2 linked regions of the Schizosaccharomyces pombe genome follow. Each later gene encodes a partner of the first gene's protein in a complex. Each region holds a gene or a part of one and is shown on either strand. Other genes may lie near its edges. A codon is read from its position in the direction of its gene.

Region 1 (2,828 bases):
CATCTCTACTAAGGCCTCTTCATCTGTTCAAACGAAAACGATCGTTCAAGTCGCCGACGAAAAACACGAACATGATTCCAGTCAATATTCAGACACAACACCTACAACCGAATAGCTTGATTATCTCTAAATTTGGTTTAGTATTCCCAATTTCATGCACCTCACTCATTTTCAGTGCTGAAGCGTCTGATTAATCATAATCGTCTTCGCTTTAATTTCTTTCGCACAGTCACTGATAGTTTGGAAGAGGATTCTTTGATGAATGTTGAAGCCACATATTACATGTCCATGTTGGAAAGACAAAACAAATTCTGGTAATTTGTCTTAAGTTTTTACAAAGTAATAAAAGTTTCAACAAAAATAAATAGATGCCACAAGGTAACGCTTATCTTTGTTAGTTAAACATTCAAATTAGAGTATATAGCAATTTGAACAGATGTAATTCGTTCCTTTTTTTTTTTAACCATGATTGTTTGTTTTCGACTTTGAACCTGGAGGTTAATAAATATTTATTATTATAAAGACTGACATTAACACGATTCAGTACCTTTATGGTATCTTAAGGTGATCACTTTCTATATATTTTTAAATGAGTTTGTAATGACATGGTGCAACAGAACTACATAAGATATTCATCAATCACATTTTTGACGTTCAGAAACCATTTGTCGATATCTCGGAAGATTAATTCCAACAGCAGATCGTATTAACAAGACATCCACAATACCATCCTGCCGCTTTCTCCCAACAATGTTGAGCCACTCATGCTTTTGAATAGATACATCAGGTAAAACTACTGTAACATCACAAGTCACGCTGCTTGATCCATCAATCAACCGTAGAATGCCATTCTTATATGATTGCACGCATCCTAAAAATCGAAGTTTTTGGCCGTCCTTACAATCGTTAATTTGATTAATGAAGATAAGTTTAGCACTATCCATCAGCTGCTAAATATATTGTAAAAAGGAGAACAAGGAAAGATGAGGGAAGGTGGTATAGTTTGTGTTTGGAAACTGGGTAATCGATTGAAATATGAATTTCGTAAATGAGCGACTTAAGATCGCAGCTTTAATTAAGAAAACGTAGTTTGACTTTTTCAAAAGGAAAAATTTGCATTAATCCTTAAAATGTGCAGAAAGACTACACTCTCGTTTGCAATAGTAAAAGCAAAATCTAATAATCGTATAGTACTATCAGTGAGGCATATTAGATTGATAAATAGACCAACATTTCCATTATTATTATTTATGAATTGGTTTACTTGAGCAACTCCACAAAAAACGCAAGCATGGTTCTTTTGATTAGTTTTTATAAATTAAGTCAGATGGAATATAAAAAGAGAAAAATAAATGCTTTGGCCGGGAATCGAACCCGGGTCGAATCGATGGCAACGATTCATTATACCACTAAACCACCAAAGCTTCTTGAAATATCTTGTAAACTTGTATAATATAAGTAGCTATTAACGATAACGATAATTATTTATTATACCATTATAATATTGATTAAAATCAAGCAGAGAATTGGAAACATGTTCTGATGTAGTTGTTTAAGGCCTTATAAGAAATCAATAGTTCTTGTAATAAATTCCGATTTTAGTTATAGGGCCAATGCGGCTAATATTCACTTGATAAATTGAAGCTGACTGTAAACAAAAGGTTACCCCTTACTTAACCATTTGATATTATAATTTACATTGCAAAAAATTTGGGTCAGTTTGAAAAGGTGTGTACATTTCCTAAAAATCTATGGAAAATTGAAAAAAATAAAATAAATTTAATTTAATATTTAAAATATCATGCTTCCAGTATTCAATATAATCGGTATTTAAATTGAACCATGAACAGATTAGAAATGGTTTAAAAAAAAAACAGCAAAACAAAATTGTATTGAATTTATCCTACAATCAAAATGCCGTTAACAATATTTTTTAGCTTGAATCTTCCGATTTCTCTTAATAAACCGTCAAAGTGCCAAAAACCAGTTTTAATATAACGAATTATATAATATACATTTAAGGTGCCATAAACACACTGCATTATACGTATTGAAACTAAGAGTGTGGATACTGTGCATATAGAGACTGCTAAACTCCAGGAAACCCGCATTTGGAGAGTAATTTCGTGTTTTTACTCGGAAAATTGCAAGCCTTAATACGATTCTTGTAAATTCAAAAGTTAGAACTCTTCCAAGTGATTTTTTGCGTGTTTTTTTGCTGTTTATTTTTTTTTTGCATTGAGCTCTTTTGTCACGTCGTTGCTATAGCTTTTAGGCTTTGAGAATCTTCGTTATAACTAATATTATTTGAAGTGTGGGTTTATCCAAAAGGCCCTTTACAGTTTTTTGTGTTATAACCTTTTCTCAAAAAAATTTAAAGCATCATTTCTAAAGCGACACCAAAATTAAAATAGTTGAAAGAGTAAAAACATGTTGTTTACAATCAAACCTTCATTTTTGAAGCCTGTAGGCTTCATTCAGACTCGGAATTTGAACCGGCTATACCCTAAACAACGTATTCCTAAGCGACCTAAAATTCCTATGGGTTCCAAAATAGCAGAGGTAACTGAAACTACATCTGCTTATTACAATCCACCAGCGTCTTCTCCAGATGTTAGGATTACTCCTCCTGTTTTTCGCTATGATGCACCTCCAATTCATCAGCGTGATACCTCACTTTCCAAAGAGTCAATGTTTCTCCCGCCGGCAGTTAGCCGAAAATCGAAAAGCAAAGGAAAGTTGAGGTTTTCTACTCATCAACTGAGTAGTGAAGATATCAAATCCATCCAAGACTTGAGGACGAAAGATCCGAATGCTTGGACAACTGG
Region 2 (4,263 bases), on another chromosome or scaffold:
CCGTTACAATTTAATAAATGTCGAGTACATTGATTTATACAGTAATCAAATATTCATTAATTCTTATTCAGATCATAAAGAGAATTTCATCCGAGAACGAATGGCACACTATGGGTTTCATCACACAATATCATAATAGAAACAGAAACAATAAGTATTAAACCAGCGAATGTAAGAAGATTCAGAAATAAATCTTTTTAATTACTAACCAAGCGCCTCCGTTCTAACCAGCGAGCCCATGCTAAATCCAAGGGTTAGTATACAATAAATGTACAGAAGTTTAAGGATGTAGAAAAGGTTAAGAATGAAAGACTAATAGAACAGTAATGGAAACAAAAATGTTTAAAAAATAACGAAAGATGTAAATGTAGACCAACAAGCAGACCATTTAAAAACAGTTTATAGGAAGAAAAAGCTATAATTCAAGCTGATGGAATAAGAAAATCAGTTGTGCTCAATCTTTCTCCAAAAACGGATTTTTTTGCTCTATTATTCAATTATTTGCAAAACTTATTTCCTCTTTGAGAAACTAAAAGCAAATAAAAAAAATCCACCATCTATTCCTATTCCTTTAATTTATACTAACTTACCATGAAATGCGAATTTACGACCAAGAAACTTTCCTAACAACGGGAACACCACCAAACATAAAACTCGTTCCAATTGTTCAATGGAATCCTTTAAATCATCATCCAATTCACTAGAATAGGTATCATCTTCTCCATCTGAAATTGGGTCAATTTCAAGATCTAAAACTTCGGCCATGTTGTTTTCACTAAACTGACTTTAGAATAGTTCGATTGAACTAGCAACGTTGTATTTAGAATTTAATTAAAAAATTTTTCTATTGTCAGCAATCGAAACCCCTTTAACGTATGCTTAAAAGTGTATTATTACCAAGTATGGCTCTGGTGAAGGTCACATAGTGGCTGTTACATTTATACATAGGACATTTGTCGAAACAACATTGATCATGTGAGACTAAATTTTGAAAACAGGGAGTATATTCAGCAAAAATAATTCATATTCACTGATGATAAGAGGTTATTTGTTTCTATATGCTTTACCTATGAGTTTGGGTACATTGTTTGTATTCTTGGTATTGCTAGTTTATTCAATTTCAGATGAAAGCTGAGCAGAACAGCCGCTGTCATGCTATTCGCGGATACCCTTTGTTTCACAACAAATATTTCGACCTAAGAAAAGCCTTTATTTTTGCCATCCTTACCTCTAAGTGCTTTGTTTGGTAACACTTTATTGAAGAATTGATAGACCGTTATAAACATAAAACAAAAAAAAGTTGGGAGTTTTGGTTTTTTTTAGTTACTCTTTTAAAGAATGCATTTTTCCACGAGGTTTCTTGATCGAACACAGTAGGAGCAATATAATTTATCTTCAAAACAGTTGAATGTGAAACATCAATAACTGAAGAAGTTTGGTTTTCATACCTCCTTGCGTATTCCCTATTCATAAATAAATCATATAATTTAGAATTATCCGGTATATGAAGATAGGAATTTGTGTGCTAGAATTTAGCAAGATATAAACAATGCACATTGGTGTGACATTTACAAAATTGGTTGACGAATTCTGTACTCTCACTTTTTGTCAGTAGACGTCTTTTTTAGGATCTTCTCTCAAATTCAATTATAACTAAGTTGCGTGAAACCAGACTAAATTCAATTGATAAAGTTGTTTAGTCAATTAGCATTTTTTATAACAGCATCAATGCATGTCCTAATAAAGAGTTAAGATATTTTTTTTCCTTTTAATCTTACTGTAGAAACTTAAATAGTTATTATCCTCGTAGAATTGCTCTATCCTTATTACGCGCACTCAGGAAGATGAAGACTTCACAAACACCAAATCATTGCTTAATTTTCGAAAACGCTGCGATTGTTGTTGATAGTTGACCAGAAGCATACTAATTTTTATTTACTTATATACTTGAAAAATTGCAAATCATATGGTTGAAAGTCTTTAAGGGAATGACCTAATAAATGCTAGAAAATGAAAATCAACTAACGCATCAATTTCCTACATTATCAAGATGGAACCCCATGTTTATTAGCGATGTTCATAAAATTTCATTTCATCCACATTTACAGCGTAAGTGCTCTTTCTGTAAAATAAATATCACAAAGTGATTCTTACAAATATCTAGGATACATTGGCTTCTGGATGGGATTTCCCATAAGATGGATTCAAATTGTTGGCTATATTGCGGCAATTGATATTTATGAAGGAAAGCATGTTTTAACAGGTAACGAATATCAGCATTGAGGCAATAAGCAGTTCCACTACTGCATACACGACTCATTTAGTTGTTGAATCTAGTTAAGGTTTTTTATAAAATCAACTTTTGAGAAGCATCTGCCTCTATAGCTCCCTTTTTTCTATTTCCTAACTGAATTTAGTGGATGATTGTAGCGGGATGGTATTGCGTGTCGTGTTTATTATTCAAGATGATTTTTCAATGTCAAAAAGAGCAATATCTATGTCTCCTGGAAATGTTGTCTGTGTCTTTGGAAAGATAAATTCTTTCCGATCTGAGGTTGAATTAATTGCTCAGTCGTTTGAAGAACTTCGTGATCCAAATGATGAATGGAAGGCATGGCAGAAAAGGATGAGATACAAAAAAAATTTAACCAAAATCTCTAAAAATCACCATTCAATCATTCGCACACCCAAGAAATCCTATTTTCCTAAAGATCATGCGAAGGAGTTACTTAAGTGCATAAGGCAGATGTGTAAATTAAATGTGCAAGCTGGATTTACAATTGAAGAACTCATTATTTATTTAAAAGCAAAAGAGTTGCACCTCCCACTTGTTCATATATTCAACGTCGAAAATGAAATAGTAGAGAACTGTGATGGAAATCACATACTGGCGCTTAATTTCTCTTTGCAAACATTACTACAACATGGGCGGATTGTGAGAAAGTCAAATTCAGTTTATATGCTTGTCACTTCAAAAGACATAATACGCTTTGTGATTCCTCTGATGGCAAGTGGTCTTCTCGAAGCCCACAAGGTTCAAAGCATAGTGAGAGATTCCAACCCAATGTTTATCACACTCCCTCTTTCTGCGATTGCTAAACACATTTGTCAATTTTTGCTTCGTACAAAAGGGAAATGGAGGCAAGCAAAGAAATATACCTGGGTGCGAGATAATCAGTTTGTATAAAATGAATTTCCAGTTTCCTTTAATATCACATTGACGCGGAGATTTAATTGCCTAAAACTAAGTTCATTGTTCTATATGCAATATTACAATCCTCTATTAATTTAAGAATATGTTTACGGAAACAGATCAATAAGTACACATGGGTATATAAGCGGTTAATCTGATGATGAAATAGATTTACATGTATAAAGCTTTCTTTTTTACTTTTGAATTGATCAGTAGCATCATTGCATCAAATTTAATTAATGGTCAGCACCAATTCATCAGCTGCTTATACAATCTAGGGTAAAGAAATATAACTAAGCATGATAATAAGTTACTCTTAATTTCCTGAAGTTCAAACTTGAAATGCTTTGCATCGCTTACTGGCCTAAGCATCGTACTTCGATTATTATAGTTGGAAGTCATGAGGATAAAACTATGTCTTTTCTGATCATGTCGTAAAATCTAGCTGCTCTTCATACTGAAATTGGAATATTAGATAAGATTTAACTACTAAAAAAAAAGATTAAGGCATCCGATTGCCAATTGTATAGATTGCAATGATGCTCCTTACTGCTTTGAAGTTGAGTAAAAACGAGATAAGCCCATAAACTTATGCAATTTATTTTAGTTGTTTTTAACTACTAAATTGACACTTCATATTGGTGGTTGTTATTTTTTTTTAGGTATCGAAGAATTGCTTATGGTCGTAGAGTTATGTCAATCTATTAATTGATCCAGTATTCTCGCACTGGGAGATCACACATCGAATAAAATTTATTTCGTTTCAATAAGCAACAATAAATATAATAATTGGTTTCTTTAAGCTCGTATTATGCCGCAAAATCTATATTTCAAAATTTAATCCTCATAATAAGCTACGCATAAATTATACTAAATTTTAACCAGGCAAAGGTTGTTACGCGTGGCGCAATGGTAGCGCATCTCATTCCTATACGACCTGATCGTTGTTGGGGAGTGAATTACGAGAAGGTTGCGGGTTCGAGTCCCGTCGTGTAAGATTGTTTTTATGAAGGAAGCTTCATTATAACCTCCTTAAAAAATTTAAATTTCAATATCATACTACACACAAT

The links.
Region 2: the proteins of ten1 (region 1) and stn1 are in contact, whole or in part, in a crystal structure (PDB 3KF6), measured with the Schizosaccharomyces pombe proteins. Residues at the interface, in NP_001343093.1 of Schizosaccharomyces pombe: Asp2 (codon at 941), Ser3 (codon at 938), Ala4 (codon at 935), Leu6 (codon at 929), Lys20 (codon at 887), Arg22 (codon at 881), Val66 (codon at 749), Leu79 (codon at 710), Arg81 (codon at 704), Ser82 (codon at 701), Ala83 (codon at 698), Val84 (codon at 695), Gly85 (codon at 692), Ile86 (codon at 689), Asn87 (codon at 686), Arg90 (codon at 677), Tyr91 (codon at 674), Met94 (codon at 665), Val95 (codon at 662), Glu97 (codon at 656), Arg98 (codon at 653), Cys101 (codon at 644), Asp102 (codon at 641); in NP_001343021.1 of Schizosaccharomyces pombe: Phe22 (codon at 2,064), Tyr55 (codon at 2,218), Ile56 (codon at 2,221), Ala57 (codon at 2,224), Asp71 (codon at 2,420), Asp72 (codon at 2,423), Cys73 (codon at 2,426), Ser74 (codon at 2,429), Gly75 (codon at 2,432), Met76 (codon at 2,435), Val77 (codon at 2,438), Ser98 (codon at 2,501), Pro99 (codon at 2,504), Gly100 (codon at 2,507), Asn101 (codon at 2,510), Pro129 (codon at 2,594), Asn130 (codon at 2,597), Glu132 (codon at 2,603), Trp133 (codon at 2,606), Trp136 (codon at 2,615), Gln137 (codon at 2,618), Met140 (codon at 2,627), Lys143 (codon at 2,636), Lys144 (codon at 2,639).

The regions. Positions count from the first base shown.
Region 1 is NC_003421.2:819,214-822,041, forward strand, and holds ten1 (telomere cap complex subunit Ten1), read right to left. Parts: upstream 1,006-2,828; 5' UTR 945-1,005; coding exon 636-944; downstream 1-635. Other genes in the region: Cu(2+) transporter complex subunit Ctr4, read left to right, coding at 1-115; mrpl20 (mitochondrial 54S ribosomal protein mL58), read left to right, coding at 2,431-2,828.
Region 2 is NC_003423.3:1,160,820-1,165,082, reverse strand, and holds stn1 (telomere cap complex subunit Stn1), read left to right. Parts: upstream 1-2,000; coding exon 2,001-2,109; exon of another isoform or gene 2,110-2,164; coding exon 2,165-2,263; exon of another isoform or gene 2,264-2,393; intron 2,394-2,417; coding exon 2,418-3,187; 3' UTR 3,188-3,598; downstream 3,599-4,263. Other genes in the region: protein mim2, read right to left, coding at 198-241, 591-765.